Caenorhabditis elegans: one gene and its partners. The protein of the gene in region 3 interacts with the protein of the main gene of each other region in a pairwise test. Each region holds a gene or a part of one and is shown on either strand. Other genes may lie near its edges.

Region 1 (5,719 bases), on a different chromosome or scaffold from region 3:
TTTCAAAAAAAATCAGTACAAGCGATACAGTAGTAATTTAAAGAATTACTGTAGTTTTCGCTACAAGATATTTTGCGCGTAAAATATGTTGTGCAATACGCATTCTCAGAATTTTGTGTTCTCGTAATATAAATAGAAATATATAAATTTAACAAAAACTACTTGAAAAGTCGACGAAAATTTCGCATCAAAAAAATTTCATGTTATCAGAATTTCCCGATTTCCAGAATCATCAGCGCCGGCGAATCGGTCGCCTTGGTACCATATGGCCCTCTTCGGCATGCGTCTCCTGTGATTGCCTTCATAGGTTATAATTTTTATAATTTATTTCTTTGCACCACAAATCTCTCAATACTATTGTCCATGTACTATCGGTACTCGTTGATTTGTCACGGAAAGTGCGAGAATTTAGCGTTGAGTCGAAATTTCGGAGTAACGTTGGTGATTTCTGTTGGAATGCTGGTAAGTGAAGAGTGTTAGCCAAGATATGGGCGTGGCCTAAAATAATCTTGAATGTTTCTTTTGGTTCAAATTTTTGGGTTTTCTTGTCCTATTTCCTGAAACGCTTAGGAAGTAGGAAATTTCCATGATTTTCTTCTCAGGGTTTTCATCAAGACTAGGCCTAAGCCTACGCGTAAGCCAAAGCTTAAGCCCAAAAAACCTAACCCTAAGCCTGAGCCCGAGCCTAAGCCTGAGCCTAGGTCTAAGCCTAAACCTAAACCTAAGACTAACCCTAAGCCTGAGCCTCAGCCTGAGCCTGAGCCTGAGCCTAGGTCTAAGCCTAATACTAGGACCACTTTCTAAATAAATTCCAAAATTTTCAGGTAGCAATTTTAATTCCTCCATACGACTTCCCTACAGTAACCCTGAACACGGAAAGATCGTATCCCAACTATCACCTATTAGATACTTTCGGCGAATATGGAGGCTTCAAGTCGACAACTCGGCTGGTTTATCTTATCAATACCACAATTCTCATGGGAATTCCCTACATGATGCCCGTTTTCATTCTGTACTGGAGACATCAGATCTTCAATCAAATCAACGAAGTTCAGACACATTTGAGTGAACGAACCAAGAAATCGTCGTTGGATTTGGTGAGGGTGAGTGGTAGGAGTAGGCTTGCCTGCCTAGTAGGTAGGCAAACAAGCAGGCAACTTTCCAATTTTTCCAGGCACTCACAATGCAGGCAATGTTCCCGATGGTATGCCTTCTTCCCAATGTTGCATACTTCCTTGTGGCGCAGGTGAGATAGGCAGGCAGGCAGGCACGCCTAGCCCATTGAAAAATTTCCAGCGAATCCACATCGAGTTCGAGATTGCCGAGTTCGTGCCGTTTCCAACCTGCGTCATCCCGTGCCTCATCGATCCGATTCTAACGATCTACTACGTTGCACCATATAGGAGTTTTGTGACGCGGCGGCAGAGAAGTGTCTCGATTGGGGTGACGTTGTCCGTGGCGCAGTCTTCCGCGAGGACTATTTGATTTTTTTTAAATATTAATAAAGTTTATTTCAATTGTTATTTATGAGACACATAAATAGTAATCCAGGAGATCAGTGCAGTACAATATTCAAAGGGGGAGAAAGGCAATAGGTAGGGGGTATAAAAATATTACAAAAAATTCACAAACTTTGGAATTCATTTTTGAGCTCTTGTGGTTGTCCTGGCATCATCATTTGCTGCTGTTGCCACCAAAACTCGTATTGTTTTTGATAATACATATTCCAAGCTAATTGAGCATTATTTTGAACTTCGAAATTGTAATTCTGAGCACTTGCAAACTGTGGCTGGTAGTTCTGCGGAGCCACAAAATTCTGGTTGAAATAATACGGGGTTTGCTGTGGGAGATCTATTTGCGGTGAGATTGTCGGTGGGGTTACCAATTTGCTGCGTTTGGGCGGAGAGTTTTCAGAATTTTCAGAGTCTGAAGAAAGCCGTCTCTTGCCATTCGAACGAAATCCGGATGCAAATTTATTGTGATGAACCTTGAGGTTTTTGAGGATTTCGTTCTGGAAAAGGGTACAATTTTGTAGAGAATATATGTATGTAGTTGGTGAAAAATTTCTAGTTGTGGGTAATTGAATTTGCTACATTTTTTTATTTTTTAGTTGACAAAATTTTAATAGCGTAGTTTCAATCCGGCACTTAATGAAAACTTAATGCTTTTTCCGAAATTGCCATGCCGAATAAATTTACCGAATTTGACGTGCTCGACAAATATTTTGAAAAAGTCGATTTGCGGCCTAAGCTTAAGCCTAAGACTAAGCCTAAGCCTAAGCCTAAGCCTAAGCCTAAGCCTAAGCCTAAGCCTAAGCCCAAGCCCAAGCCCAAGCCTAGGGCTAATCAGTGATGGGCAGCGAACATGCTTTCTTGGCGAACGACGAATTCGGCAAATTTGTCTATGCAGTTTTTTAAGTTTTCCAGGTTTTTTCTGAAGGTTTTTTCCTGTATAATGGCGTAAGCCTAAGCCTAAGTCTAAGCCTAAGCCTGAGCCTAATCCTAAGCCTAAGCTTAAGCTTCAGCAAATGGCAACTTTCGGCAAGTTTTTCAGTATTTTTTTAATTTTGAATTAGATGCTTTCTATATGTCTACATTTATTTTTGATTTGAAAAGTTGGAATAGCGCTTCGAAATTTACAGTTTTGGAAACTTGAAAATATGCTCTCCAACTTTAAACTACTTCATCTCCGTTGATAGTGACGCGATTAAAATGTTTTCAACTTTTTTCAACAAATTGTTGCAAATTTAATTTCCCACACCCTTTCAAATAACTAACCTGATAAGCAGTGACCACCATAAATTCAGTAGCCTCCAACCGGAACTGCTCCCCACTAAAATCCTCTTGATACCCTGTCTTATAATGTCGGACCTGTTTAACAGTGACCACTGGAATGTGCTTATGCATACTCTGCACTAAAATGACCTTCTGATCCTTGATTTCCGGGTTATTCGTGATTTTGATGTGAGCAAACGAGACGGGCTCACTCATCCATTCTGCTCCAGTACGCTTGCCACGCGGATGCTCCTTGTATTGGATTGGAAGAATCGGATCTCCTTTGGCGAATTCTTTCCATTCTCCTGCGTCGAATTTGTATCTGGAAATGAGTTCAAGTTTTTGAAATTGGAATCGTCCTATAGGTTATAACTCTGAAAGTATACCAGCTATCAAAAAGTTGTCAATTTAGAAATTGTAGCAAATTTAATTTTCTACAATTTACCAGTTGAAAATTTTTTTCTATCTTTTAACCCAACTCACTTAATCCCGTCAACACGTTCCAAATGAATATAAATCGAGTAGAGACTGCCTGGATCCAATCCCTTGATGATATAGTCCAAATGCGGAAAAATCACCCTTCCACGGTTTCTCGTCACAATCATTTCGGTTTTCGGGTAGAACTCTTCCCAAATTTCTGGTGTGCTCAAGGAGACTTTAATTCCGGATGGGGAGGTGCACGAGTACATGGTAATGCTGTAACAGGGGGAGTTATAGGAGTAACAGAAGCACAAAAAAGTGAGACCGGAAGTAGAGCAACAAAAATCTAATTGTAATAAAAGTGCTAACCACTCTCACTAATTCTGTAAAACTGAGCCGGTAAGTGGGCGGAGCCGGAAGGGGCTGGGCCACACGTAGGGGTGGACACGTGGCAAGTGGAGCACAACTTGGCACATATGAGCGTGTGGCCATGGGAGATGTAGCGCACGGCGGCCTTGGGTGCAGGCTTAGGCTTAGTCTTTAGGTTTAGTCTTAGGCTTAGTCTTTAGGTTTAGGTTTAGGCTTAGACATAGACATAGGCTTATGCTCAGGCTTAGGCTTAGAGTTATGCCTAGGCTTAGGTTTAGGCTCAGTCAGGCTTCTGCTTGGGCTTAGGCTTACAATTAGGCTTAGGCTTACACCTTTGAACAAGAAAAAACCTTCAGAGAAAACCTGGAAAACTGGAAAAACTGCATAGGCAAAGTCGCCGAATTCGCCGTTCACCAAGAAAGCCTGTTCGCCGCCCATCCCTTATTAGGCTTAGGCTCAAGCTAAGGCTTAGGCTTAGGCTCAGGCTTAAGCTTAGACCTCAGCTCAGGCTCAGGTTTAGGCTAAAGCATAGGCTTAGGCTTTTTGAATTCACACCAATATAATAATGACCTAGAAGGATCACACGCGAAGTATATCCAAAATAACTGTAAAATCGGAACACTCATTAAACTGCGAGCCAATGTTGGTGTCTGATTCTTGAACACCTCTTCCTCCAACTGAGCATCTCTATGGTCTTCAGCAATCTAGAATGTGTAGTTCACACTTCAAAAGTATACCTCCACCCACACCTTGACACCTCACACTCTAGTGATAGCGGTGCGCAGTTTTGAATTGGCTCGGAAGGAGAAGATGTGTCGGGCTCAGCGGGAGGGCTGGTGCATTTTGAAATTGGTTAGAAACACAAGAAATTGATTATAAAAATAATTTTATATTTTGTTTTTCATACATTTTTCAATAGCTTCATACTTAAACGTTACTATTAAATGTACATTTCTTCCAGTAATTTTTACTGCAAATATGAGATTTTTCAAGTAATAATAACGGTTCAAAAACGGTTCGAAACACTTGGCAAAATACTTTATAGCAAAGTATAAGCGGCACATGTCTTTGAGCCGTAACACAACTCTCTGCCATGTATGGTACGCCACGTGGTTTGGAAAACGAAAGACACACGATATTGTGGGAAACTTGGAGGACATCTGGAAAATTAAAGAAAAAAACAATATCGATTAGGAATTTAGGAATAGTTGGAAAACGATTTACAAACTTTTTGATAGCTTTGATAACAATTTAATCACGAAAATTATAATAAAAAATTATTGAAAAAAATTTACAAAAAAAAAAAGAAATTTTTCGCGTCAAAAACAAAAAAAAAAAAAAAACGCTATAAAAAAGTTGTCAACTATCAAAATGTAGAACATAAAATTTACAATTTTTGGATAGTTTACAACTTTAATAACAATTTAGTTACGCAAGTTTAAAACAATTTAAAAATGTTCGCGTCAAAAATAAAAACAATTGTTATCGCAATGGTCAATCAATAAATCATCAAAATCAATAAATCAATAGAAAGAAAATAAATTCATTAATTGATAATTCACACTTCAAAGGGATCAATTTGAATTGAAAACGAAATGAGTTCAAATTCTTCGAATTCTTCAAATCCTGCTGCAACAGATGCTCCAAAGGTAAGTGGAAATTCAGATGATTCTTTAAAATGCCTCTACCTTTTCAGAAAACTTCCGTTGAACCGGGTTCGGAAGCCAACAATTGGCATATCACGGAGGCCGATGAGAAGGGATTCAAGTTGACCGATATGATCAAGAAACTTCTGAAGCCTGTATTCTCGAAAGCCATTATGTTTGATGTAAGTAAAGGAGACTCTATACCGGCCTGCCTGCTTCACCTGTGCCTGCCTACATGCCTTCCCATTGCCTATCTGAATCATCCCTGCATATTTACCTGCCTGCCTCATACCTGCCTAAATGTTTAACCACTGCATTCCTACCTATTCTCTACCTGCACCATCCCTGCGTTTCTAAGCGGTTGCCTGCCTACCTACCCACGCCCCTGCCTGTCTATTTGCCTCCATGCCTACCTACGTTCCTAATGTCTTTTTTTCAGGAAAAAGAGATCCATGTGCTGTTGACACGTGTCTTCAAGTACTACACATCTCCACCGAACAAGAAAACTGC
Region 2 (6,447 bases), 3.9 Mb from region 3:
TATATTCCCAAGATTTTTGTTATTTTTTCAGGTTGACTTCATTTTCATGGGTGTTTCAAAATTGTTTTATAATTGAATTATTTTCTTCCGATGTTCAATGTGCCTTTTCATGAGATTGTAGGGTAATTCTTAGTATTTTCTGCATAAATTATTTGATTTCCTTATGTTTTTTTTTTCAATTTATACTAAAGTTTCTGGTTTTCAACCGAAATATATCACTTTTGAATAATTTTCAACGACTTAGAGACCATTTTTTGTTTCAGGGTTCATCAATTATGTCGGAGCTACGTGTCATTTCTCTCGATGAGGTCTCAAAGCACAACTGGGAAGATGCTGATCAATCGTGTTGGATTGTCATCTCCGGAAAGGTAATTTTTTTTTCATTTTTTAAATTTAAATATCGAAATCATTCCTTACAGGTCTACGATGTGACAAAGTTCTTGAATGAGCATCCAGGAGGTGAAGAAGTCATCACTCAATTAGCCGGTAAAGATGCTACAGTTGGATTCCTCGATGTTGGGCACTCAAAAGATGCTATTGAAATGGCCAATGAATATCTCATTGGTCAATTGCCAGAATCAGACGTTCCAAAAGTCGAGACAGCGGCTGCGAAACCTTCGAAAAACGAAAAATCATCATCTCTCCTCAATGATTTCACCGAAATTATGACTTCACCAACATGGACCAACTTCCTGATTCCAACTACAATGGGACTTGTCATTTATGCCGTGTACAAGTGCATGTTCAATTAAATTACCTTAGCTCTTATCCTATTCTTTTGATCTTATGCGCCCACTTTCTTGAAATGCATCAAAGAACATTTGTTTCTATGGACTTTTATATATGTGATAAAGATTTGTTGTCAATATTTTCATATGTTACTGAAGGAAAAATGGGTGGAGCCTTGGAGATATCGATGTAACTTTAGTCGCAAGATTAGTCCTATTGAAACAATTAAAAAAAATATTCAGATCAAATGCTTCGTCAGATTCTTCGTCCAATTTTGAGTATGGATTTTACACAAAAAACAATTTTCTAATTTCTTGACGATTCAGATTCTTCCCGCCGATTCGCAGATATAAAACCAAAACAAAGTGCGAAGGAGAAGGTGATGGCTGAGAAGACACCGAAAGGAGCACTTGATAAAGCAGACGAACAACAATATGAAGATCCTCACCTCAAGAAACATCCGGGAGGTGTGAATAAGTCAACTGGAGAAGTTGGTGGACCAGCTGGACCAGAGCCAACTCGATATGGTGATTGGGAGAGGAAGGGAAGAGTTTCAGATTTTTGAAATGTTTTATTAATTGCTGTTAAAGTCAAGTCAGATCATCATTGTTTTGTAGTGCAAATAAATAAATGTTTTAAACATAGAGTGACATTAATCGTAATAGGGTACACAAATACGAAAATTTGACAAACGAAATTAGAAGAGATGAGAGAGATGAAACGATTATCGTACAGAATAGGGGTTTTGAGTATCATGATCATAAATTCACTGCGGAAAAAAATTAATATTCAACTGCATAGAGAGTTGCCTTCTTCTCCCCTGATCCAGTGACAATGAGTGAGTCGTCGAATGAGATGTCACATGAGAGAACGGAGCTGTTCTCTTTTAGTTGAAAGAGTGATGCTCCGTATGGAGTACGCCAGGCGTTGAGAGCATTGTCCTGAAAAATTGAGATTATGAGGTTTCAATTAGAAAAATTGAGCCAATTACCGTATTTCTTCTATTAATATGGCTGCAATACTATTTTTCGATGGTCTTCCCGCTTGCAAGACTAATAGGGAGTGCAAGAATATTAGGGAGTGCAATACTAATTTTCAGAATATTTTTCTGACTTTGAGCTTACTAGTTTTTTTCTGAAAAAGCTCGAATCTTATGTAAAAATACAAAAAATTTTGATTTTAATTGTAACCTATAAGTTCAAAAACTTCAATTTCGTATAAATTTTGTGAAAAATTGTTGCACAATAGGCAAAAAATATTGTTGAAATCCTGAAATTAGCGAGATGGGTTTGCAATAAAAAAAAAGTAAACGCAAGACTATTAGAGAGTGCAATAGGGAGTGCCATACTAATTTTTGGAAGGTCTCCGAGGGGCAATACTAATAGGGAGTGCAAGTCTAATAGGGAGGCCATACTAATAGAAGAAATACGGTAAATGACAAAGTATAATCAAAACATACCTTTCCAGTTGAAATGAAGAACTTTCCGGAATGCGCAAATTTGAGCGAAAGGACGCATGATTCGTGTTGTGTCAATTGATACTTTTCTTTTCCAGTTGTTGACAGAACCTCGACATAATTATTCTCCATACCAACAGCCACCCATTCATCATTTGGACAACATCCAAGAGAGAAAACTTGGCTCGCAAAATCATGCTTCGCAACTTCCTTTCGTTGTGCAAGATCCCAGCATCTAACAGAATTGTCAAGACCACCTGACCAGAGCTTTGTACCATCTTTTGAGAGATCGAGACATGATGCTCCATCTTGATGTCCAGGTAGGGTTCCAACTTTCACCTTATTATGGATATCATAAATGAGGATATTTCCATCAGCAAGACATGCGAACAATAATTTCTCATCTGGTGACATCGCCAACGCGTAGCATGCTTGTGAATCAGTTTCCAAGTCCAAAGTTTTTGTTTCAGTTGTAAGATCCCAAAGAGCAACAGTACTGGCTTCTCCTCCAATCAGAAGTGTATTTCCATCTTCAAAGAGTTTACAAGATCTAATATAGTTCTCTTTGAGACAATCCAAGGATGCAATTGGAGGCCGATTCACAACCGTTGCGCCAGAAATATCTGATTCTTTGACATCCCAGATCTTAACACATCCTTTTCCACCAGTATAAACACGACTGTTATCACGGGAAATTGTGGCCGCACAAACTACTTCTCCGTGATTTAATTCCATTTTCTTCTTGAGACCTCTGCAATTTTTTTTTTCAAATTTGAATCAAAGCCAATTATTATATTTTCTTACGTCGGAATTCCGGGACCTTTCTGTGCATCTGGAGGGAAGGATGTAGGTGTTGGAACTCCACCGTCCACAATTTTGAATGAATAGGCCGGTCTGCTACCGATTTGCCCGATGGCAGCTGCAAGACGGGCCTGTGCATGGGGATCATTCAAAAAGTTGAATCCTCCAGCAGCACTAGCTTGTCGGAGAAGATTTGGATCTGAAAATTGAAATATTTTGGCATTGCCTGAAGTTTTGGTATTTGCTCCCTCCACTTAGCACACTTCAAAAGATTGTAAACACGTACTGAATCCAGCTAAAAAGTTCATTTGCTCCAATCCTTGAAGCCCAGCGAGTGGCTGCTGTTGTTGTCTTGCTCTAGAATTTGATGCGATGCTCGGTGTAGATGCTCCCGATGAGGCAACACTATTTGTGCTATCTCTTCCATTTTTATTAGCTGCGCCTCCATTTGATGCAGTACTTGGATGATCATCATTTGTGACATCAATCTCAAGTTCTCCATCATCTGGATCTTCCAGCTTGGCCTTTTTCGCTTCACTTGCACCTCCAGAACTTCCACCGGCTCCATCTCCACCGTTGACATGTGGTGATGCGAATTGATTGAATAGTTGACTCATTGCAGGGCTCATTCCGAATGGCATATTTGGCATCATTCCAAGCATTCCAGCTGCACCGGGAGGAAAACCTGGTGGAAGTGCTGGTGCTCCATTTCCATTTTCACGTGGTGATGCGGTTTTGAAAGCTTCCAGTGCGGCGAGGCAGTTTGCTTGATTATCTTGAGATAGTTGAGGAGCCAACTGAAAAATATACATTTATAATATTACCTAAAATTGATTATTATGAATTAAAAATATTACATAATAATTTTTCTTCTATTTATAAATGAATATATGGAAAGAGGAGCATGTTTGAGTTGAACAAGGTACAATCCAATAGATATTATAACGTTTCCATAATATTTAGTTCAAATATTTCAACAAAAAAATTGTAATAGCTTTTTCTATATTTTTGTTCGATTTTTTAATAACATTATTGACGAGTTAATTTACCGATTGCATGATGAATTCCTGAAGGCGTTTGTTGATTTCTTCTGCTTTTCGAAGATCGCTACGAAGAGTATTTGATACTTCAGCGTACGTCATATACGATCTATTCATATTTTCTTTCTCTAACGCAACCTTTTCGATATCCGACTGCAAAATTGTTTTCAATATACTAAAATTTCTCTTACAAAATTAAGCTTACTCGTTGCTGGTTGACATGCTTCGACATTTCCGCATGCTCGTCTTTGATTCGATCGAGGGTTTCCAGATACGATGCCTTCATTTTTACTGAAAATTAAATACAATCAAGTGGATAGTGAATTATTAACATAAAAATTATGAGAGGAGTTTTAAAAATTCGATCAAAAAAATGCAAGGAAGAACAGACTAGTGATGGATTGGGAGAAGACAACAAAACTCAAGAAATAGCACGTGGTTTGAATAGACGTTGACAACGAGACGAAGAAACAAAGAAAGAGGACATGGGTTTCCAGTGGTGTAGACGGAGAGAATCATACATTAATTGCAAAACGACTGGTCATATAGCCCCACTAACGTTGAAGAATGAAGGAGGTATTGGTGTCGAGGAGGACGAACGCGCGGCGATGAATGCGACGCTGAATGGGTGACCGAATGGGGGGAGGAGTTGTCGATAGAGCACATTTGTTTTGAGCTCTTTTGAGCCCGAGTGTAGAAGATGAATGTATCCAATAAGTTTGATATTCAAGTAACACGAGGATCCGAGGATTTCTAACTAATATTTCGAATCAAACACGATGAAGCTGCAACTTACTATAGAGAGAAGCATTTATAAATATTTTACATGTACATAATCACAATTCCAGTATAAAAAACTCACAAAATTATCTAAAAAAACGGAAAAGGTTGAAATATTGAATAAAGAGACATAAACCTGTCTTGAAGAAAATATTTTTAAAAAATCATGTTTAACAAATAATAAGTTTATTGACATGGTATGTTCTTAAATAATTTGAGATTGAAAATCGGTAAGAAAATGAGATGAGAATCAAATGATAATAGTGAAAATTGAGATTCAAATGGAAAGAATAAAAACTCTTGAATGATTCTATTAGATTAAACAACAAGACGGTATACTGTAGCAGTCATGAAAATTTAAAAAAAAACCAAAACATGAATGAAGCTCCATTTTGTCATTTGTAACTAATTAGAAGCATTCCGGAGTGTTGAAGAATATATTACACATATAAAAACTCGAGAGTTTAAACTCATTAGGAAATCAAATATAATTGTCGTTTCATTGCTAACTGATCAGAAGACTGGACTCGTGCCTCTGGAGACACTTTCTTCTTCGTCATCAACCTCCTGCTTCACCTAAAAATACATTTTTAGATTAAGAGTGCAAGTCGTCTCGTGAAAAATATATTCTTGAACACGACACTTGATTTAAGGGCAGCGTAAATTTATATAAGGATTAAGGTAAATGAAGCTATCAACAACTAACAAGGTTATGCCCTTTGATCAATCATTTCATTTCAGTAATTGACACATTCATTTCCCACAATGTTAGATTTTATCGAAAAAGGAGGGATGTGATGGGTGGTTATAAACATTCAAAGATTCGAGAAGGCGATAATTGGTTGGATGTGTGTAACAGATGGTGGTGAGACGATGGTGTACACATTTGTTTGCACTTTATGTCATCATTATGACAACGAATACAATGAAAGTCAGATTTATGTTCCAGAAATAGAAAATTCCCATATAAGGGTCACCTTGGGTCAAATTGATGTCGGTTGATGGAAAAGGGATGTTTAATGGGTGAATGAGAATAATAAAATGTATGTGGTCGAGGCATTTGGAACTACATACATTTTATGTCTGGGATGCCGCTGTTTTAGATCATTTCACAAATTGAAATGAACATTTGACACAAATGTGGTCCTATTAATCAGCGCATTGAAACAGTTTCGCACCGAATATCCACAATTTATATTGAAAAATAATGATTTCTTTTTTATTCAAAACATCATAGGAATTGTTGAAACAGTAAACTATTTTTGGATTTTAACATTTGTAAGATTTTTGAAAGATATGGAGACTTACTTTAATTTTTTCGAAATTTTAATTGCCGAATTGTTTTTTGAAACTTTATTTTTTAGAGTTAAAGTTTTTGTCCAAATAAAATATTTTTCGGCCTTAGAATTAATCAGCTCAAGTAGTGGTTACACAACTCATAAAATCTCGTACACATACCACTCCAACAGTGTTCTCTTGATCTCTTGGCTCTTCGGGTTCTTCGGAGCTTCTTCTTGCAGATGTTGTACTCTCTTCAGTTTCTTCTATTTCTTCATCTTCCATACTTGGGTCCCTACGGCCTCGTTTGGTGGCTCTGAAAGCATCTCGTTACTTGAAAATTATTTAAAGAAACAAAAGAGG
Region 3 (6,141 bases):
CTACTGTAGGTCGATTAACGGAAATTATTTATCATTCGGCAATGACAAAAAACTAAATAAAGTAAATGGGAAAAAAATCGAGATCGCGTAAATCGACCTACAATAGTCATTCAAAGAATTACTGTAGTTTTCGCTACAAGATATTTTGCGCGTTAAATATGTTGCGAAATACGCGTTATTAGACTTTCGTGATCCCGTAATAAAAAAATTGAATTTGCTTCGCAGTGTTCCCGAAATACAGCCAAATTTATTTTTTTCAAGCTTTTTCGTTGCATTTTCTCCAATTTTAGTCTCCGTTTTCCCAACATCCTCGTTTTTACACTTGTCCAGGTAATTTTCTCTAATTTCTGGGAAAATTCCGCAGAAAAAACGGAAATCTAGAAAAATTCGAGATTTCCCAGCAGTTTATTTTGATTTTCTTCAATTTTTCACTCAATTTCACAAAGAACTATTCGAAATCGAAAAAAAAATCGATTTTATTCAGAAATTTATTAAAAAATTTTAAAAAAATACCGTACCCTTCAAGCAACGTGTACTCCTCTCGGAAAATTCGAATTAATTATTAATTTTTATTGATTTTCAACCAATTTCGCTACCAAAAAGGGTGTGTTCCCTCTAATTTAGGATAGTCTTTGCCATTTGTCTCCTTCCGTTTTCTCTTTTATCTGACTGGGGTCACATTCACAGTGAAAGGAGAATTAGAAAAAAGAAAAAAAGATGAAAACACGCTGTGTCTCTATCTCTCCGCCAATTCTCACGGTTTTCCCGGTGAGTTACAACGAAGAAAATGAACACTTCGATAAAAAATATATATTGACGCCCCGGGTTACCGATTACCGATGCCCACAAAAATCACTTCTTATCAATTTTTAAATGGTTTTTTTCAGGACAATCTGATTTTTATTTTTTCTCACTCAACCTCCACTCTCTTCAAGTTCCATGCTCTCTTTTAACCTCTTCTACAGCTATTATTGTCGGCCACCTGCGCACACACACAGGGCCTTCTCACACACCATTTAGCATGGGCGGCCCCTTGATGAGCGATGAAAGCGAGAGACGCAGAGAAATTGGTGTAGCGGGGGGCCATGGTGCACTACCGACAGCGCGCGCATACACCACCACCAACCGCCTCTTGTCTTCTTCCCCCCTTCTTCTCACGTCCCCCGGTCCGTCATTTATTTGAATTTTATGGATCCTTTTCGCCTCGTTTTCCTCGTTCCACTATCCTCCCTCCTACCTCCTGCTGGGTTCTACGTTTATTTGCATTTTATAATTGGAGGAACTTCTTCATTCGAACATTTTTCGCTTTTTTTTCCCGTCATTCTTTTTGAATTTTGTAGAGCGAGTAGCGGCCTAGTTTTCGGCTAGGCCATCTGTTGCCAATGACAGATGTGTTTTGTTCACCGTATCGATTCCTGCTCTTTAATTTAAAATTCCCGCGTTTCGGATTTATAAGCAAAAAAGTAATTTTCTACGTCAAAAATAGGTAATTTTAAGGTATTTAAAGTCTGATCGTGGTGTCACCCATGCCAAAAAACATGGCATGCGCCTTTAAAGACTACGGTATATTTACAAAAATGTCGAAAAATGCGAATTTTAAACAAATTTAAAGATTTTTGATGATTTTCTCCTTTTTGTTCGGAATTCCCTTGTTTAAAATTTATGATTTTATTTTTAAAAACTCAAATTACAAATTAATAAGCCGAAAAATATTGTTATTCGCGGTGGTACCCACATTGAAATACATGGCACGCGCCTTTAAAGGTTACGGTAGACAAAAATACTTGAAAATTTAATTTTGAACAAATTTCGAAGTTTTCGATCAATTTCTAGATATTTCACATCGAAATTTCCTCGTTTCAAATTATTTTTTCAACGAAACAGCTCAAATTCGACATTTTTAAGCAAAGAAAAGTAATTTTGTTCGAAATTCGTGTCGAGACCCACACCAAAATAAGCGGCATGCGCCTTTAAAAGTTACGGTGGACAAAAGTATTTTTTAAATTAAAATTAAAACAAATTTCACCGTTTTTGCTGATTTTTCTTGAGTTTTTCATCTAAAATTTCGATTTTGTCGTCAAAATTTATCTCTAATTCAATAAAAATTCAACATTTTCCAATTTTAGAAGTCTAAACCTCCACTTTCTCCCCAAAATCCTATCGAATTCAAATTTCCCGCGTCTTTCCCCTCTCCATGGCCTAACTTCCGCGGACCTAGTCCCCCTTTTTTCTTGTTTTAAATGGTTCCGTGCTTCTTTTCCCTCCATTTTTCCGTCAATTTCCCATTAAAATCGTTAAAAAATGCTCTAAATTTCCAGATATAAAAATACACAAAAATGATGGCCGACGAAGAGCTCGGCGATGAGGTGAAGGTGTTCCGTCGGGATGAGGATGCTGACGATGATCCAATGATTAGTGGTGAAACGTCAGAACAACAGTTAGCCGATGATAAAAAAGAAGCTGTAATGGAAGCAGAATTAGACGGTGCCGGTCGAAATCCATCGATTGATGGTGAGTTTTCCAATAAATTTGATCGAAAGGGGAAGGTGGCCAGCTATCACACAAAATTTTATGGACCACCTCAATTGCCTTTCGACTTTATTACACAAAAAAAATATTTGAAAATTCTTCTAAATTTCTAAATTTCTGCAGGAAAAAGGGACATTAAATATTAAAAAAATACATATAAATTTAAATTTAAATAATTTAAATAAAAACTTTAAATGCTAAGACTGATCCCAAAAAAAGAGAAAAAAATCATTAAATTTGAAAAAAAAACCTTATTTAAATTCCCGCATTTTTTGTCTAAACTCCGCCCATAGAACCGTGCCGCACTTTGTTTTTTTTTCAAATTCAGCGTAAATCCATATTTTGGGGGTTTTTTTTCAGTTTTTAAATGGAGAAAAAGGTTTTAAAAATCGCCGAAAAATTCATTAAAAGCTAGAAAAACAACCCAAAAATTGGACTTTACGTTGAAATTAAAAAGTGCAAAAGTGCGGCACGGTTTTATGGGCGGAGTTCAAAATCGAGACAAAAGCGCGGGAATTTAAATTAATTAAAAATCGCTAAAATATTTTTTTTTGACAAATTTGAGTATTTTCAGTGTTATTTTGAATTTCAACCAATTTTAAAGCGATTTTTCGCCATTTTTTATATTTTAAAGTATTTCTAACACTTTATAAATGAAATTTACTCATTTTTAACCAATTTTTTTTCCGGTTTTCACTATTTTCTATTAAAAAAATCCATGCTAATTTCAAAACACCCCTAAGAATTGACCTGATGGTCCCGGGCCTTACGCAATGACATAATGACGTAAAAGGATGTTACGCAACGGTGTTCGAACACCATCTGCGTCTCTCCGAATCCCATACTATCTCGGTCCGTTATCTTGTGTGCTAATCCGTCGTGAGTACTTGAACAAGTTGGTCCGTCTGTGTGTGCTCAATAGACTGTATAGGGGTGCGAAAGGATTAAGAATTGGATAATATTCAAAATTGATCTGAGAAATTTGAACTTGGCGCCAAAAATTGACCTTTTTTGAGATCTGTGAATGGAAAAATCTAAAAAATTATGTATTTCAGGCCTTTAGAGGTGCTAGAAATTCCTTTTAAAATTTTACGAAAAATCGCTTTAAAATCGAATTTTCAATTGAAAAATCTAAAAAATGAGAGGTTTTGAACTCGGATATCACTATAAAAGTTGAATTTTAAAATATTTTTAACTGAAAATTGTGAAAATTTGCGAAAAATCGCTTTCAAAAATCGAAATTTTGAAGGAAAAATGAGATAATTAACCCTATAAAATTGAGTTTTGAAGAATTTTAACTAAAAATTGTGAAAATTACCGAAAAATCTCTTTAAAATCGGAGTTTTCATGAAAAAATCTGGAAAAATGAAATCTTTAACCCTATAAAATTGGATTTTAAAGAATTTTGACTAAAAATTGTGAAATTTGCCAAAAAATCGGTTGAAAATCAAAAATTTGGCTCTTTTTTAACCATTCTAACCGAATAATTATCAAATTTTCAGTGTTAAAAAGTGCATTTCCAAAAGTCGAACCAATGTCACCATCGTTTCCCGGTTTAATGTCACACTTCAGTCCTGGATACTCGGCAGCTGCTTTACCCATGTTTATGCCTCTATTTATGGTGATTTTTTACTTGGAAAATTGAAAAAATTTGAATTAAAACACATAAAAATTGGCGAAAATCGACAAAAATCGACTTAAAATTGTATTTTAGAGTTAACAAGTTAAATACTTCTGAACGAAAAATTACCGAAATTGGCAAAAAATCGGCTTTAATTGGAAGTTTTCACTGAAAAATCTGAAAACAAAGGTGAATATTAGGCCTCGAATATGTTATAAATACCTTATAAAGTTGAAATTTCAAGATTTCCCCCAAAAATCGACGAAAAATCGCTTTAAAATCCTTTTTATGACAATTCCCCCTATTTTATTAGAAAAATTATGTAGTCTAGGCATTAGAAATACTTTTAAAAGTTGCAATTTCAATATTTTGCCCAGAAATTGCCTAAGAAATGGGAAAAATTATGTATTTTGAATTTTTAAAGGGTTCGAGAGCCTCTATATTTTTGGAATTTAAGAATTTACACCAAAAATTATTTAAAAAAAGCGAAAAAACACCCTAAAATCGAAAGCTTTATTGAAAAATATGGAAAATTGTGTATTTTTGAGCTTATTCTTCAATTTGAATCAAAAATCGTCGAAATTTGCAAAAAATTGCTTTAAAATCCTATTAAAAATCATTTTTCCAACAATTTCTTCCCCAAAAAAGCAGAAATTCCAAAAAAAAAAAATTCAAATTTTTACCCAATTTCAAGAATTTTTAGGGCTTTTCTCCATTTTTGTAGAAAAAAAACCGTATTAATTTTTTATTCTTCCTACAATTTTCTTCCCCAAAAAGCAGAAATAATACAAAATTTCCACTAAAAAACTGAATTTATTGTCTTCCAAATCCAAAAATTCTTGGCTTTCCGCCATGGGGTTCTGGCCTTCCTCATTGAATTTTTCGCGCTCCATTGACAATCGCCCGCCGGACTGGGATAGTCGTGTACTCCACACGGACAAGTGCATTTAGTTTTACAACTAAAATCGAGCCGCGACGCGACACGCAACGCGCCGTAAATCTACTGAGCCAAAATGACCTAGTTCGGCAAAAACTCTTCCATTTCATTTTATGAGGGAAGCCAAAAATTCGTGAGAAATTCTACAAAATTTTCACCGAAAAACTGAATCTATTATCTTCTGAATCCAAAAACTCGTTGCATTTCCTCGAAAACAGTTTTTTCTTCTTTTTTGTTGGAGAAGCCTCATTAACTCCCAAAAAATTGCGTGTTTTTTGGCAATTTGTTTTTCTCGAAAAACTATTGGCGAAAAAACACCAAAAATTTCTTTTGAATTGTTGAACATCATGTCAAGAGCCGAAATTATTTCCTTTTGCGTCACTTTGGGGGGTCTCGATGGTGGTGGTAATTATGGTTGCTGGTACCCGAGACACGGATACAATAGACAATTAGACACCTCTGGGCCCCCCCCCCCCCCACACACACATGTTTGGACACCTTTTTTCTACAGACAAAAAGACGCGGAAAACAATAGGTTCAAAAGGTGTGTGTGTGTTCGTATTCATTCATTACAAAATGATGATGACCCCACACCAGAACAAGTGTGAGAGAGCTCTAATTGCTTCCGGAACATGATTGGTGCCACTTCCTGTAGAGAATTGACACTTGTTTTTTGAATTTGTTGAGAGCTAGCGGGGATCTGAATGATTACCGTACCTACCTACTAGGCCTATCTTCTCGGGGTACTGTACACAGACACGTGGTGTCAAAGTGTCTCATTTCGACTTGATCTACGTAGATCTACAAAATAGGCGGGAGAAGAGACGCAGAGCTCTCAACTGATTTCGCATGGTTAAGAACCTGTTGACGTCACATATTTTTGGGTGAAAAATTCCCGCATTTTTTGTAGATCAAACCGTGAAGGGGCAGCCTGACACCACATGCACAGGTTGAGCCAAGGTTTTCTGAAAAATTAGGAACGATTTTCCATTCGGTTTTTGTAGCAAAAACTAAAGGAACTACAGTACTTCTTAAAGGCGCGCAAGTTTGTTTG
Region 4 (5,714 bases), on a different chromosome or scaffold from region 3:
ACGCACATTTTGTATGGAAATACTCTTGGCGGTTAGCCTTTTTTGGCTGGCTATTGTCCGGTACTTATCGTACTCACATCTTTATGCTCAACCTACTTGAAATAATCCTTGTTTTGTATATGAGCGGAGTAGTTGCAGGTGGTGATGGAGAGTTTTGCATTGTATGAGATAATTAGGATATTGGCACTTTTAAACACGGGTTACTGTAGCAGAGGCTCCTATATTTTGGCAACACCTTTTTCCTAACTATCTTATTTTTTCTATTAGCATTACACCCAATTGTTTGACTTTGAAAGCTTGTATCGGCTTTTTTCGTTGGTCCAATACAATTGATAACTCTAACTAGTTAGGTGCATACCATTAAAAAATACGGTATTTGTAATTACATTAATACAACCTAAGATACCGATTAGTATCAATTAAACGGTTCAAAATCTCATCGGGCCTGTCACCATGTGCCGTCAAACGAAACATGAGGTGGCATAAGGTGAAACTGCACCCCCACACACACTTCTCGATAATTTGATTTGACGTGGCAAACTGATGAATGAATTTGATAAGCAATATCCGTTTTGTATAGTTTGAATATACATATATACACTATGTATGGGTATCTAATTAGGATAGAAATGAAGACGACATGCTTGAGATAATTATATGGTTTGGCGGGAGTTCAAAAAGTCACCGAGTTAAACTAGGGTTTTGGTAATTAGGATAACATTTGAATAATCTTAGCATAGTTTTCAAAATGTTCATTTAATTGTTAGTATCATTATTTGCCCAAACAACAAGTAGCTTTATGTTGATTTAAATTATGGTTTTAATGGTTTTTATTCACAGAAAAGTAGGCATAGGTCGTCTTTTTAGAAATTCTATCTAGTCCAAAGGAGCCAGGTTATATGGAAAAATGAGGACTCTTGGAGGCTGAGGAACTCTGTCTGTGGCTAATATTCGCGTCCAGTTATATATCCATCTAATTTAGAAAAGTTAGGAAAAGGTAAGTTACGGTACTTTTCCTATTAGTACTGCACCCCTTCTGCTCTACTTTCAGATCTCTTATCTCGGCTGCTTTTGGTTTTATCACGAAAATTTCAACAGTAGAAATATTTTTCATATATGTTTCTATGATTTTACAGTTGAAAATGTTTTGTTAAAATTGAAGACAACCGAGATATGAGCTGCCAAAGTAGAGCAAATTTGGTGCAAGACTAATTGAAAAATTCGGTATGTTTTCTACTAAAAACCTAGTCTTCTGAACCCTGATTTTTTGTTGGATTCATGACATTTTGCAGACTAGTAACTCTGCAGCAGTCTTGTCACTTCCCTCCCTTATCAATTTCAGTCTTTTAATCGGCTCAGCAGCTTCTGCGGTCTCCTTTCATCTTACTGTTTGCTCAATTGATTAATGTGATTTTAACTTCAAAAATGCTGACGATGGACATATATATTTTCGAATTATTTACGACATAAGCTCTTTCACAGATAATGAAACAAAGAAAAAAAAGAAAAGGGAAGATCAGTTGAAGAAATGAAGTTGTGGTACCACGTGCAGGAGGATTAACAAAAAATTGATTATTGATTGCACGATTGAGATCAGGGGAAATGAAGAATGCTGAAAGGAATTGAAGGGGAACGGAAAAGGAACAAGAGACTAGAAAAGGTTAAGCAAATAGGAAACAATTGTTAAAAATTAAACAAGGAAATTGAGTGTTCTTCTAAGCGCTCAGTTTATCTGAAACTGCCGAAGATCCATTCTCATTTGGTGAGGAGCTCGATGAAGTTCTCTTCTGGCCAGAGCTGACTGGAGCATCCATTGGCATTATTCTCGAAGCCATCATTGACAAGAGCTTCTGGCTATCAATATTTTGTGGAATGAAGAACGCTGGCATGTTTGGAACTGCTCTTGGATTCATTGGATGTCCCAGCATGGGAATGTTAGCCATCGGGTGCATCATTCTTGGAGGAAAGGGCATTCCTTGCGGGAGGAATGGAGGGAATGGCATCGGATGATGGGACATCATTTCGTGATATGTGTCACTGTTTTTCTTGTATCTGAAATTATTAAGTGTTTGAATTGAAAATTTATCTCACTAATTCCCTTGTTAACCCCGAAAGTTTTCTTTTCCCAGGCTTCTCCACTACCCTCGAGGGTGCGATTAATGACAACAAATTGGTGACAAATTATCGAAACAACTGTCTTTTCCCTCTCTTCACATCTCGTATGTGTGCTCACCCCGCCGCCGGCTACTACTCCCCGTCAGGTTGTAATACTTTCTCCTGTGCTCCCCTTACCTCTTCCTTCTGCGCAGAAACGATCCATTGTCGAACATATCCTCACAGTTCGGATCCAGCGCCCAATAGTTTCCTTTTCCCGGATTCCCAGGCCCCCGAGCCACCTTCACAAAACAGTCGTTGAGGCTTAGGTTGTGACGAATCGAGTTCTGCCAGGCGGGGAACTTCTCCTTGTAATACTCGAACTTATTGATTATGAACTCGCAAATTTCCGAAAGTGTCAGTTTCTTCTCCGGTGAATTGAGAATTGACATCGCGATGAGTGCAATGTAGGAGTACGGTGGCTTTGCGTGACTGCTCTTTCGGTGACCAGACATTGATTTTCGACTGCAAAATTATAGAGTTACAGTTGTTTTACACAGTACATATTATTGTACATATCACTGTACATATTATAGGTATATTGCTCTACCTATTTCTCTACTTTGACAGCCAATATCTAGGTTTTTATTGGTCTCATCAAAAATTGTCAACTGACAAAATGCATGTAAATATATCTCTACATTTTTACAGTTAAACTTTTTTGGTAAGATTTAGGACAACCGAGATATAAACCGTCAAGTTAGAGTAAAGAGAATGCAAGTCATACAGGGAAAATACGGTAGTTGAACAATGTCTAATAGACTTAAAAATATCGGAGATCAAAGTTTCACAAAAATTGAGCATACAAACTTTTTGTATAAAAGGACCTAAAAGGTCGAGGTCGAGAAAAATCGAATTTCTTCTAAGATTCCTAAGTTTTTCCCAAGTTCCCAACTTACGATGTAGAATCATCATCGTCGTCATCATCCTTCGCATCATCAGATGAGCTATCTGCAGCACTTGAAGTTGAATGATTTCTTTTGTTTGCCTTCCGAACTGGAACGCCGTCTTCATCTTCCGTGGGCTCGTCTCCAAGAGACCGACTTCTTTTTCGGGACTCCCCAAACTTCAAATCATGTTCAAGAACCGACGCAGAAGTTGATGGCTCGGAGAGCCGTGTGTTGCTCCGCGGCAGATCAACCACTTGCTCATTGATTGTCACTTCCGGCTCTAGCTTCGGAGGTGGCTCCAGTTTTGGCTTGGTACTTGATAGAATTGATTCCATGGAAAAGAGCATTGTTACCGGTGTCTACCTAGTTAGTTTCTGCAAGTAAGTTGATGAAAAAATTATGAAAAAAAGTAAAACATAAAAAAGATAAGAAAAGCTAATATTTTCATAGCGTTATCAAAATTCAAAGCGAAATCGTAAGATAGAGATGGCATCGCGAGACACCAGACAATAATAATTATTAATAAAAATGTTATAATCGGATAGAAGGGGGAGGAGAGTAGGGGAGTACGGTAATCATGGATGAGGGAGCACTTGAGGGAGTACGGTAGGTAAGGGCAGATGATACCAATCCATTGTTGGCGAAACATTGAAACATACTAATGATTCTCAAGAGTACGTGGGGGGATAATAAGGGTATATCATTCTCATATTAATATAATATTTGTAGTACTATGCAGGGGTCCGAACTCGGTACTAGTAAGCTGTCAAAAAAAAGAGCAGGAGGAACACGAAAAGTTGAAAAGCAAAGCAAAGCTATCACTTTCAACAATATCAGTTATCTTAGTTAACACAAACAACATATCAAGTGTCTTCTAGCAGGATCAAATGAAAACGAGAGATGAGCTTCCAAGAGAAGAACAATTGAAAAATGACAGAGTGGTGTGGGAGCATCAGGAGAGAGAAAGAAAGCTCCGAGATTACTGTAGATTTATGACGGGCGGACATGTGTTAGCGCAAACTTTTTTTGTGTGTGTAGGTATGTGTTGAAATGAAGAAGTCGAAAAAAATATATCAAAAGCAAGTTGCGGACGAGGACTGGGAGACAAGTTGTAAATGATGAAAAGCACGGAGGTGGTTTTTTGGAAGAGTACATACAGTACAGGTTTCAAGATTTTTGATTCTTCAGTTTTTAAGTGGAACTTTAGGATTTGAAAGGAGCGGGGCATTGATTAGAAGTTTTGGCACAAAAAGAGAATAGTATCAATATGAGAAGCAATTAAAAAATTTAAAAAAAGAGTTTCACCTCTTCTGCTCAAAATATTTAAATTTCAATTTAGGTACCAGTTAATTTTTTGAAAAAAAAATTCAGAAAATGTGAGCAATTCTCTAAAATGGTGAAAACTCTGTAAAAAATTCAAAACTATGCGAATTTGTAAACCGGAAAACCCACTATTTTCCTATTTGACTTGCATGCACCTTGCTCTTCTTTGACAGCTTATATCTCGATTCTCTCTGGTTCTATCAAAAAATTGTCAACTTACAAACTATGGAAAAATTATTTTTCTACATTATGACAGTTAAAATTTTTTTGATAAAACTTGGGACAACCGAGATATGAGCAAAATGAATGCTAGGGAAAATACGGTATAATTTTTTTTAAATAAAAAACTTGCAAAAATCGAATAAAATTTGTTTCAAGTTTTTGAATGTTTTATGTAGTTTTGAAGCAAAAGTTTTAATTTGAATGGTGAGAAATATTAATAATCATAAATTTGACAGTGATGAACAACAGATAAAAATTTTCATTTTTTGAAACGCGGCGTTTTGCCTCTTTTGGCAGAAGTAATATTATTGGTAACCAATAAAAAGTATTAGATAACAATTTAGATTTAGAGTTTACGGGATTTATAAGGAGCACAACAAGGAGCACAACAACAATAATAACAATAATAATAAAGACAAAGATCAAGTGAAGCACAAGAAATCAGGTGAAATAGGTACAGAATGATACCCAACCTAAATCCAACTATTAGTTCTAATAATAATATTTTTGCCTGATCCACTGATTCTTCCGTTTTGGTGTCATAGTCACAAAAAGCGAATAAACGAAAGAAAACACCGGTAATTGGACCGCCCCGCCCCACGCTCATTGGACACGCGGCTCCGCCCACACGCTCGCCCCTCCGCCGCTCGAAACTGAGAATCATCACTGATGACAGGGTGAATTTAGAGAGAGAGAGAAAGAGAAAATGATACTAATATATAATAATTATATCATTGTGATCAACCACTACTCAGATCTATGTAGATCATACTCAATTTTAAATCGACTAATTCTGGGTGGCATTCTCCCAATTATCAATTTGTAAATAGAGAATAGACAATCAAAAGACAAATATGTTTTCGTTAAAGAACCTGTCGGCAAATTTATGAGGGAATCATGAGGTAATCCAACTTTCTCGGTTATCAGCTAGGTGGTAACTATTACAAAGGCCACACACAAATAGACACACAGGCTCGGTTGAGACGGTCATTTCATCTTTCTGATAAGAAGATTGGCAGTGGGAAGGAACGCATTAATTGTGTGTGTGTTACTTAATAAATGTTTATGGGGTGCCGGTGGTCTTACCACGAAAGTTTTGCGATTTTGTTCCTACTCGGAAGACTG

What was found.
Region 1: the proteins of pop-1 (region 3) and tbx-38 interact in binary tests that used the Caenorhabditis elegans proteins (3 or more experiments, as listed by UniProt).
Region 2: the proteins of pop-1 (region 3) and unc-37 interact in binary tests that used the Caenorhabditis elegans proteins (3 or more experiments, as listed by UniProt).
Region 4: the proteins of pop-1 (region 3) and unc-130 interact in binary tests that used the Caenorhabditis elegans proteins (3 or more experiments, as listed by UniProt).

The regions. Positions count from the first base shown.
Region 1 is NC_003281.10:11,782,590-11,788,308, forward strand, and holds tbx-38 (T-box protein 38), read right to left. Parts: upstream 3,473-5,719; 5' UTR 3,464-3,472; coding exon 3,258-3,463; intron 3,236-3,257; exon of another isoform or gene 3,156-3,235; intron 3,097-3,155; coding exon 2,778-3,096; intron 2,012-2,777; coding exon 1,625-2,011; 3' UTR 1,493-1,624; downstream 1-1,492. Other genes in the region: srd-74 (Serpentine Receptor, class D (delta)), read left to right, coding at 228-462, 825-1,103, 1,175-1,246, 1,297-1,485; C24H11.1 (Serine/threonine-protein phosphatase), read left to right, coding at 5,159-5,212, 5,260-5,391, 5,649-5,719. UniProt on the Caenorhabditis elegans protein: Transcription factor. Required for mesodermal induction, acting redundantly with transcription factor tbx-37. Together with tbx-37, acts by inducing cell fates in the AB lineage, thereby playing a role in development of the anterior pharynx.
Region 2 is NC_003279.8:6,741,013-6,747,459, forward strand, and holds unc-37 (Transcription factor unc-37), read right to left. Parts: upstream 4,318-6,447; 5' UTR 4,313-4,317; coding exon 4,232-4,312; intron 4,180-4,231; coding exon 4,036-4,179; intron 3,784-4,035; coding exon 3,273-3,783; intron 3,186-3,272; coding exon 2,990-3,185; intron 2,937-2,989; coding exon 2,189-2,936; intron 1,671-2,188; coding exon 1,512-1,670; 3' UTR 1,295-1,511; downstream 1-1,294. Other genes in the region: cytb-5.2 (Cytochrome b5 heme-binding domain-containing protein), read left to right, coding at 276-368, 420-752; W02D3.12 (Succinate dehydrogenase assembly factor 4, mitochondrial), read left to right, coding at 977-1,007, 1,056-1,294; fnci-1 (FANCI helical domain-containing protein), read right to left, coding at 5,320-5,382, 6,265-6,400. UniProt on the Caenorhabditis elegans protein: Transcriptional corepressor that functions with the neural specificity gene unc-4 to govern motor neuron identity. In concert with unc-4, represses the expression of VB-specific genes such as ceh-12, thereby preventing the adoption of VB motor neuron fate.
Region 3 is NC_003279.8:2,826,489-2,832,629, reverse strand, and holds the start of pop-1 (Protein pop-1), read left to right. Parts: upstream 1-2,318; 5' UTR 2,319-2,336; coding exon 2,337-2,511; intron 2,512-4,031; coding exon 4,032-4,150; intron 4,151-5,556; exon of another isoform or gene 5,557-5,747; intron 5,748-6,141. UniProt on the Caenorhabditis elegans protein: Transcription factor. Part of the Wnt signaling asymmetry pathway. Binds to the consensus sequence, 5'-(C/T)TTTG(A/T)(A/T)(G/C)-3'.
Region 4 is NC_003280.10:11,279,672-11,285,385, reverse strand, and holds unc-130 (Forkhead box protein unc-130), read right to left. Parts: upstream 3,421-5,714; 5' UTR 3,392-3,420; coding exon 3,054-3,391; intron 2,620-3,053; coding exon 2,293-2,619; intron 2,053-2,292; coding exon 1,716-2,052; 3' UTR 1,427-1,715; downstream 1-1,426. UniProt on the Caenorhabditis elegans protein: Probable transcription factor. Binds to DNA sequence motif 5'-CTGTTTCA-3'.